Linked DNA regions of Canis lupus familiaris. Each later gene encodes a partner of the first gene's protein in a complex. Links are inferred from orthologs where the notes say so. Each region holds a gene or a part of one and is shown on either strand. Other genes may lie near its edges.

Region 1 (3,654 bases):
AGGGATGCGCACCCCCCGCCGCCGCTCTGACCGCCTGTCGGCTGCAGGCCGCTCCATGCCGCGCACCTGCCCCGACTCTCACGCTTGGGGAGTCTATGCCGCGAGCCTGCCGATCCTCCTGCAAAGCCATGCACGGCGTCTCCGGAGCAGGACGTGGGCTCGAGTCCCCGGCCCGCAAACCGCGAGACGCTTCTTTTTCCCGGGCCGCCAAACTTCCCCTTTGTCGTCCCTAAATTCTCTGATGCAAAGAGTAGGAAAGGCCATGAAACGCCTGCACCTGCAGAGAACGTCTGGTACCTGAGAGCACTACCTCCCACCTGAAGAACGCTTTCTCTCACGTCCTCGGGCGAAGTGCGCTCACGACACCCGTATTGTAGGCATCGGCGCCACGCTCCGTTTTGCATCCGGTAGGACTACAAGGCACGGAGGACGCCTTTACGGGGAGTTCAGTGTCATCAGCAAAGAAAGAGGAAGTTTCTGTGCTTTGGCGTGTATGGCGTGTGTGTCTGCAATTTCTGTATTTCCTTAAAAAATGAGCCACGTGCAGCGAAAAATGAGCGTGAAAAACGTGCAATTACAGAAGCCCTTCCTTACACAGAGGACTTTGGCCGGAGGTGAACCCTCTGAAGCCTGCTTTACATTCACCACAGTGACTATCAAACCAATATATCCATCTCACAGTCAACGCAAACCATTAGATCATCCGTAAGTCTACGACGTTAGGAATGCAGATGCTACAATACCAAACGAACAAAGCAGTCTAAGAGCGTACCTGGTCACCGGTGAAGTTGTGCAAGGACGACATGTTTTTCCCATCATAAATATAAACCTGTGGAGGAAAGACAAAAGCATATGAAATACGGTCGTAAAACAGAAGATAACCCAGAATTTTTTTTTTTTTTTTTAAAGATTCCTTTTAATTTTCCTACCATTCCCAAAGTCCTCGCCGCTCTCGGGACACCTGAAACAAAGTCTGAAAGGAAAAACATAATGACTCATTTTTTTTTTAAGACTTATTTTATTATTTATTTATGATAGACATAGAGAGAGAGAGAGAGAGAGGGAGGCAGAGACACAGGCAGAGGGAGAAGCAGGCTCCATGCCAGGAGCCCGACGTGGGACTCAATCCCGGGTCTCCAGGATCGCGCCCTGGGCCAAAGGCAGGTGCTAAACCGCTGAGCCACCCAGGGATCCCCATAATGACTCATTTTCAAGACCAAGTATTGAGAACTGCAAGAAGAAATGGATTTACAGGAGGAGCGTTAGGTCCTGTTTTGTTATTTCAGCAGAAAAAGAAGGTAAAAAAAAAAAAAATCTTTGAAAATGGTACTCCACAATAAAGGGCCAGAACATTTTTTTTTTTTTAACCACAAATATCAAATGTCCACAAAATAGAGAAAGATTCTTGAGAACCTTCAGATAAATGCACGTGCGCCCTTAGGCTTTTGTCATCTTATTAAAAAGAGAAGGGTCAGGATAAAGTGACCCCAGAACAAAACTAAGTTGTATCTACAGTGATGAAAAATAATACAGAGTGAGATGGGGCGGAGGCGGCAGGGACACAGGAATGGGGTCAAGATCAGGGGAGTGTCTGGTTCCTAGACTGAGCTCGGTGGGCGGGGGGCGGGGGGGGGGGGGAGCGGGCAGAGGACGGAGAGAATCGCAGGGCGAGGGCCCAGAAGTCACAGGCGGTGCCTACGAGCCCTCCGACAGGACCCGCTCCACCAGAGCAAGAAGAAGAAACTGAAGAAAAACTAAAACGTCATGGGCTGGAGGGGGGCGCACGGGAAGACGCGGGGCCCCAGCCCGGGCGGCACCGACCCCTCGGCCCGTCCCCGCCACGCTCCACGCCGCCGGCCCAGACCCCGTACCTGCTCGGGCTTCGCAGTGTCGCCTGTCTCAAACCCTTAGGCTCTATCTTTTCAGGACGATCACACAGGGGGGTGCCGGGGGCTCCGGCCAAGCGGCTGCCAGGGCCCAGCTCGCCACCCCGGGGCCGGCAGCAAGGTCCCCCCCCCCAGCCCTGCTCCTCCCTCTCCTCCCGGCGGGGGCCCCCTGAGGCTACCTCTCGCTCTGTCTCTAAAAAAAAGGAAAAACTCTTGGAAAAAAAAGAAGAAGAAGAAGGATTAAATACAGTTTACACGCATCATACCATCTACGCCATCGCCGTTAAAATCTCCGACAGCCACGGAATAACCTAAAGGAACAAAACGGGAACCGCCATCAGGGCACAGTCAGTCCCCTGGCGCGCACCTGCCGAGCAGGCTTCCCTCGAGCGTACTTTCAAGTAGAACAGACTCTTGAACAGGGGCTCGAACTGCACAGGCAGGTTTTTTTTTCAATAAATACAGTATCGCACTGTAAATGCATGTTCTTGATGGTTTCTTGATATTTTCTTTCCTCCAGCTTGCTGCATTGTAAGAGTACAGCACATGATACACACGACACGCAAAATGTGTGTCGCTCCCGCCCTCCGCCTCAACCCGCCCCACCTTTCTCATACACTTTCAAAAAAAAAAAAATTAAAGACTTAAAAATTAGTTTAAAAAGTTATTATTAATCATTGTATAAATAACCACTCTTAAATTTCAACCACTGAAATGTAACCTATGTACCCAATAATAACCTGAAATTATGTGCCTATTCTTTAGATTAAAAAAAAAATTCTTTTTAATCTCTTTCAACATAAATTATTTTCCTGCTCAAAGTAGCATACACAAATACAGGACAAATAACACTGCAACTCCATAAAATGAATCCATATTTTGGTTTAACTCACCCAAATAACTGTCATCAAAAATAGCTTGAGCCGTCCGAGTTGCTAACTGGTTATTATACTTGATGCTGTAAACTTTGGGGTCATATTTAGATACGATTTCTGCCACTTGATCTGAAATGAGCTGACCTGAAAAATATATATAAAATCACTTTTTAATGGGAATTTATGATGCAGAGGATAGACGGCACCTGCACACACACATAAGGATAGCACTAGAGATTAGTGTTTGTAATTATTAGCCTTAAACAACTCTCCATAATAGTAAATCTGAAATTTGATATTTTTATAGTCACAATTACTTCTCTTCAAGCTAGTTCTTACAATTAGTCACAGCGAGGAGACAAAAGTTTTATAAATGCAAGATCTGTCTTAATGCACAAAAGAAATTGATGCTAAATAACTGGAGTAATAAAATCAAGAGCTGTTTCCCAAATAAATCCATTAGAATTTGAAAAACCTACTGAAATGACTAAATATCTTTTTTACTTTTACTAATTCTTTTCCCCCACAAATCATTTGGATACCTTTATGGAAAGGCCTGAATGGGTGAGTTCAATTCTTTTTTTTTTTTTTTTTTCAGAACCTTAAAGTTATCAGGTAGACAAGAAATCCTGAGCAGTACACAAAAATCAGATTGTGTTTCCTACCCCGAGAAAGGCTGGCTAATTTATCAAACATCACCTCCCTACATGAAGAAAATAATCTCTTCATTTCTGCCGTTTCAGAGACAAGCTCATAGCTAATGTTTCTCAGTCTGTCCCAATGGTCCAGTCACAAAGGTTGAGTCCGCAGGGTAGGAACACGCTCTGCTGCGGGCCACTTGCTTCATCCCCTGGGCCTAAACAGTACCTAACACGCAGCAGGAATCCAAAAAA
Region 2 (3,654 bases), on another chromosome or scaffold:
TGAAAATATTATACTATTCTTTGATATTTTAAAACATTGTGCTAATTTTTGAAGTGTTGCTTGGTGTGAAATTATTGATGAAAAATCAGAGTTTATTAAAATTACTTTGAGAATCCTGTGATGTCCCAAGAAGTGAAAATCATTCCTCAGGCACATGCATGTTCAGGGAGAAGGAACATGAGGCTCCATGAGGAGATGTATTCATTCCGACAGTTAGCAGAGCTGTTTTGGTAGATTATCTATAAAGTTATTGGGGCAACTTATGGAAGTAGAAAAGAAGATGTTAAAATGAAATGTTATATTAAAGAGGAACTGAATACATTTCTGAGAACTCAACAGGCTAATTAGGATATTGTCTGAGAAACTTGTATTTTTAAGGTCAGTTCTTGTTTCATGGTGGGCCATATGCTATTTAGAATCAGACTTTCAAAATGATAAGAAAAGCGTCTCTTTCCAGAAAACAGACAAATTCTCATCTTTCCAACTACCCTCCATGTCCTAGCTGAGCTTTCTTTGAAATCCCATCTTAGGTAACATAATTATAAACATAGCAGCAACAAAGATAGTTGTCATACTGGCAATATAAGTACTTTAAATTTGACAAACCTTAATTTAACAAATTTGGAGCTTGAAGACAAATACAGAATTCTCAAACACGTATTTATATGCCTGTTTGCCTGAATATTGGAGGTTTATCCAAGATGACTAATATTATTTGTGAGTTTTTTGTGATGAAACGGAGTGATATTTGAAAAAACATAGAAACTCCAAGCTACACATAATCTCATAAATTTTCAGATAGGAACATACCTCCTCTCCAAATATTTTCATTTCTCACTTAATAAAACAAAAATATAAAATTTAGTAAGTCCTTTATATAAAAACAGAGAGATTTTATAAGAAAAAATTAATTTGGCATTTATGAAGTCCACACCAACCACCAGATACCTGCATTGATTATGAATCCTTTCTGGGTGGATGCTAATGTATGGTGAAACTGTTTTATCAACATAGGAGCCAAATCCAAGACGGAAGTCACGGGAAAAATATGCCATTTTTCTAGATAAATCATTTCCAACGGAATTTAATTTTTCAATATTATTGTGCATTGATGCTGAGACATCAACCAGGTAATAAAGATCCACAGGATATTTCTTCAGAGGATGAATTTTCAGCATAAAATTAGCTTCAGCTTCTGGTTCAAAGAAAGACAGACATCATGTAGTATTCATTTTTAACATCTCAGGATAAGCTCTCAATAAATCAGTCATGCTTTATATACATAACAACTAGCACAAATTTGTGCATAATGAATGAAGTTAGGAATATCCTGGAATAATTTTAAAGCAATTTGAAATCTGTATCAGTTTATTAGTTTCCAACTTATACAATGCATTTCTCACAATTCCGTGGTGCAGATAGTGATAGTAACAAACGGACCATAAAGTTCTATGCTCAATATAAATGTAGTAGAGAATATATTTATCCCCATATGAACTTACTTCCTTTAGTATCTAGGAAAGCACAGCACAATACTGCAAGCAGCATTCTGTCTCAAGAGTAGGTGGCTGTATTGATTTGAAAGAGGCTTTTGGTTTGAAGAAAAGTAGAAAGGCATCTTAAGAAAGTTACCTCTTATTGGATGAGGGTATAAATTCATCCTTTTAGGTTAAGGCATATTTACATATGAGATGTGAAAACTCTGGTACTGAGTAGTATGTTACACTATCCAAACTAAGTAATAACTCATTATGAATTAGATGATGAGATTCCTCCCAACAGTAGTCATGGGATGAGAAGAATGAGACAGTCGTCTAAAGAACTGTACCGAGCAGTGCCACACTAGAGACCTGGGCAATGTAGGGAACAATATTTATCTAACACATAGTAGGTGCTTGATAAACATATGTTGAAGAGGGATCATAGAGGCAAAGGAACTAGATGTGAAGAGTGGGAAATGTGGGAGCTTCCCAACAACTGTGTACAAGACAGTTTTATTTGGTTTTCTGTCTATTATCATTTGATACAAGGACCTATATCACTGTATCCAAGGATATGGCACTCTGTGGAGCTGGTAGTTCTGTATTTAGTTTTTAAAATTATTTTTATCAATAAAATAAATAAATAAATAAAATTATTTTTATCTATTGATTGATCTTATTTGAGTATAGTTGACCCACAATGTTACATTAGTTTCACATATAAAACTTAGAGGTTTATGAAGTTTATACATTATGCTGTGTTCACCACAAGTATAATTACCATCTGTCTTGTTACATAGCTATTATAGTATCATTGTCTGTATTCCTTAGACTGTGTTTTTATTCTCATGTCTTACTCATTCCATAATTGAAAGTCTGTAAGTATATAGTAAAAAGTCATCTATGTAAATATGGACAATTTGTGAACTTTACTGTTTTAAACAATAAAGTAAGTGCTTTGCAAGTCATTATTTGTCAGTGGAGAGTAATTAGTGTAGAACAATTTTTTTTAATGAACACCGATTTGTATATACAATTGATAGCCTGATCTACTTACCAGAAGATATTTTATTTATTATTTATTTATTTATTTATTTATGATAGTCACACACACACACACAGAGAGAGAGAGAGAGAGAGAGAGAGGCAGGGACATAGGCAGAGGGAGAAGCAGGCTCCATGCACCGGGAGCCCGACGTGGGATTCGATCCTGGGTCTCCAGGATCGTGCCCTGGGCCAAAGGCAGGCACTAAACCGCTGCGCCACCCAGGGATTCCCTACCAGAAGATACTTTAAGATATTTTCAGTCTTAATGTATTCAAAAGCAGCGACATTGTCTTTTAAATTATTTTACAAATCAGATGTTTTTAAAATCAGTTATAGAATATATTCAAAATAAGGTTTTTCTGTACGTAATAATAATTATGGGATAAATTACTCATTCCTAATTTGCCTGTATGTGCTGGAAAACCTTTTACTGTAACACTCAGTTTTTTGGCCCAAGAGTTTGGGAGATGTAAAGGCCACTTAGTCCACTCTCTCACTCCTTTCCTTTATGAGCTGGGCTGCCTCCAAAGAGCATATATTCAGCTCTGCTTTTCCAGTGTCTGGTAAAAAGACCTGTCCCTGTGGAAGTGTCTTGCAATTTGGGTGGAGAAGTTCAATTCAGGAGAAAGTCAGAATCTAGACAGGGCCAGATCAATAAGAAATAGAAATGGAGCATAATTAGGGAGCATGGCTCATGTGGCTTAATATGTGGATCAGCTGCTGCTTTTTTTTTTTTTTTTTTAATTTTTTACAAATTGGATGGTCGTTTTTTTAACTGTTGACTTGGGTATAAGGCTAAAGACCTTAGGCACTGGTCACATGGTGTTTTCATCTTGGTGATCATTACAGTTTATGGTAGCTCTGTCTAAAGATTAATGGCTATGTGATTTCATGGAGTTATTGCAAAATTTACCAGATATTTAGTGTATTGTGCAGGTTGTTATAAAATTGGTTGGTTATCTTAGCCAAGGGAATCTGTAAAGGCACAGTCCTTAGAGGACAAAGATATTCAGGGAGGTCCAACCAAATGTTAGCCGTATAGGGGGCCTCAGCACACACTAGCTTCTCTTAACCTTGCAAGCAAATTCCTAGTCTCACTGGCCTCAACAAAGAAGATGGTGGTAAG

The links. The genes of interacting proteins can lie anywhere in the genome.
Region 2: the proteins of ITGAV (region 1) and ITGB8 are in contact, whole or in part, in a cryo-EM structure (PDB 8TCF), measured with the Homo sapiens proteins. The link is inferred for Canis lupus familiaris from reciprocal best matches to the Homo sapiens genes ITGAV and ITGB8. Residues at the interface, in NP_002201.2 of Homo sapiens: Tyr48, Phe51, Trp123, Leu141, His143, Gln150, Glu151, Arg152, Pro154, Phe184, Gln186, Phe189, Pro204, Trp209, Asp249, Tyr251, Tyr254, Arg275, Arg278, Thr279, Gln301, Met302, Ala303, Tyr305, Phe308, Pro328, Leu329, Met331, Ser335, Asp336; in NP_002205.1 of Homo sapiens: Ser197, Pro198, Ile202, His203, Pro204, Arg206, Ile250, Asp251, Thr252, Pro253, Thr287, Ser288, His289, Leu290, Ala291, Leu292, Asp293, Lys295, Leu296, Gly298, Val300, Pro302, Glu321, Ser324, Leu325, Gly326, Gln327, Glu330, His349, Trp350.

What each region holds. Positions count from the first base shown.
Region 1 is NC_049257.1:29,233,349-29,237,002, reverse strand, and holds part of ITGAV (integrin alpha-V), read right to left. Parts: intron 2,906-3,654; coding exon 2,780-2,905; intron 2,198-2,779; coding exon 2,153-2,197; intron 974-2,152; coding exon 930-973; intron 830-929; coding exon 773-829; intron 1-772.
Region 2 is NC_049235.1:34,460,661-34,464,314, reverse strand, and holds part of ITGB8 (integrin beta-8), read right to left. Parts: intron 1,196-3,654; coding exon 949-1,195; intron 1-948. UniProt on the Homo sapiens protein: Integrin alpha-V:beta-8 (ITGAV:ITGB8) is a receptor for fibronectin. It recognizes the sequence R-G-D in its ligands.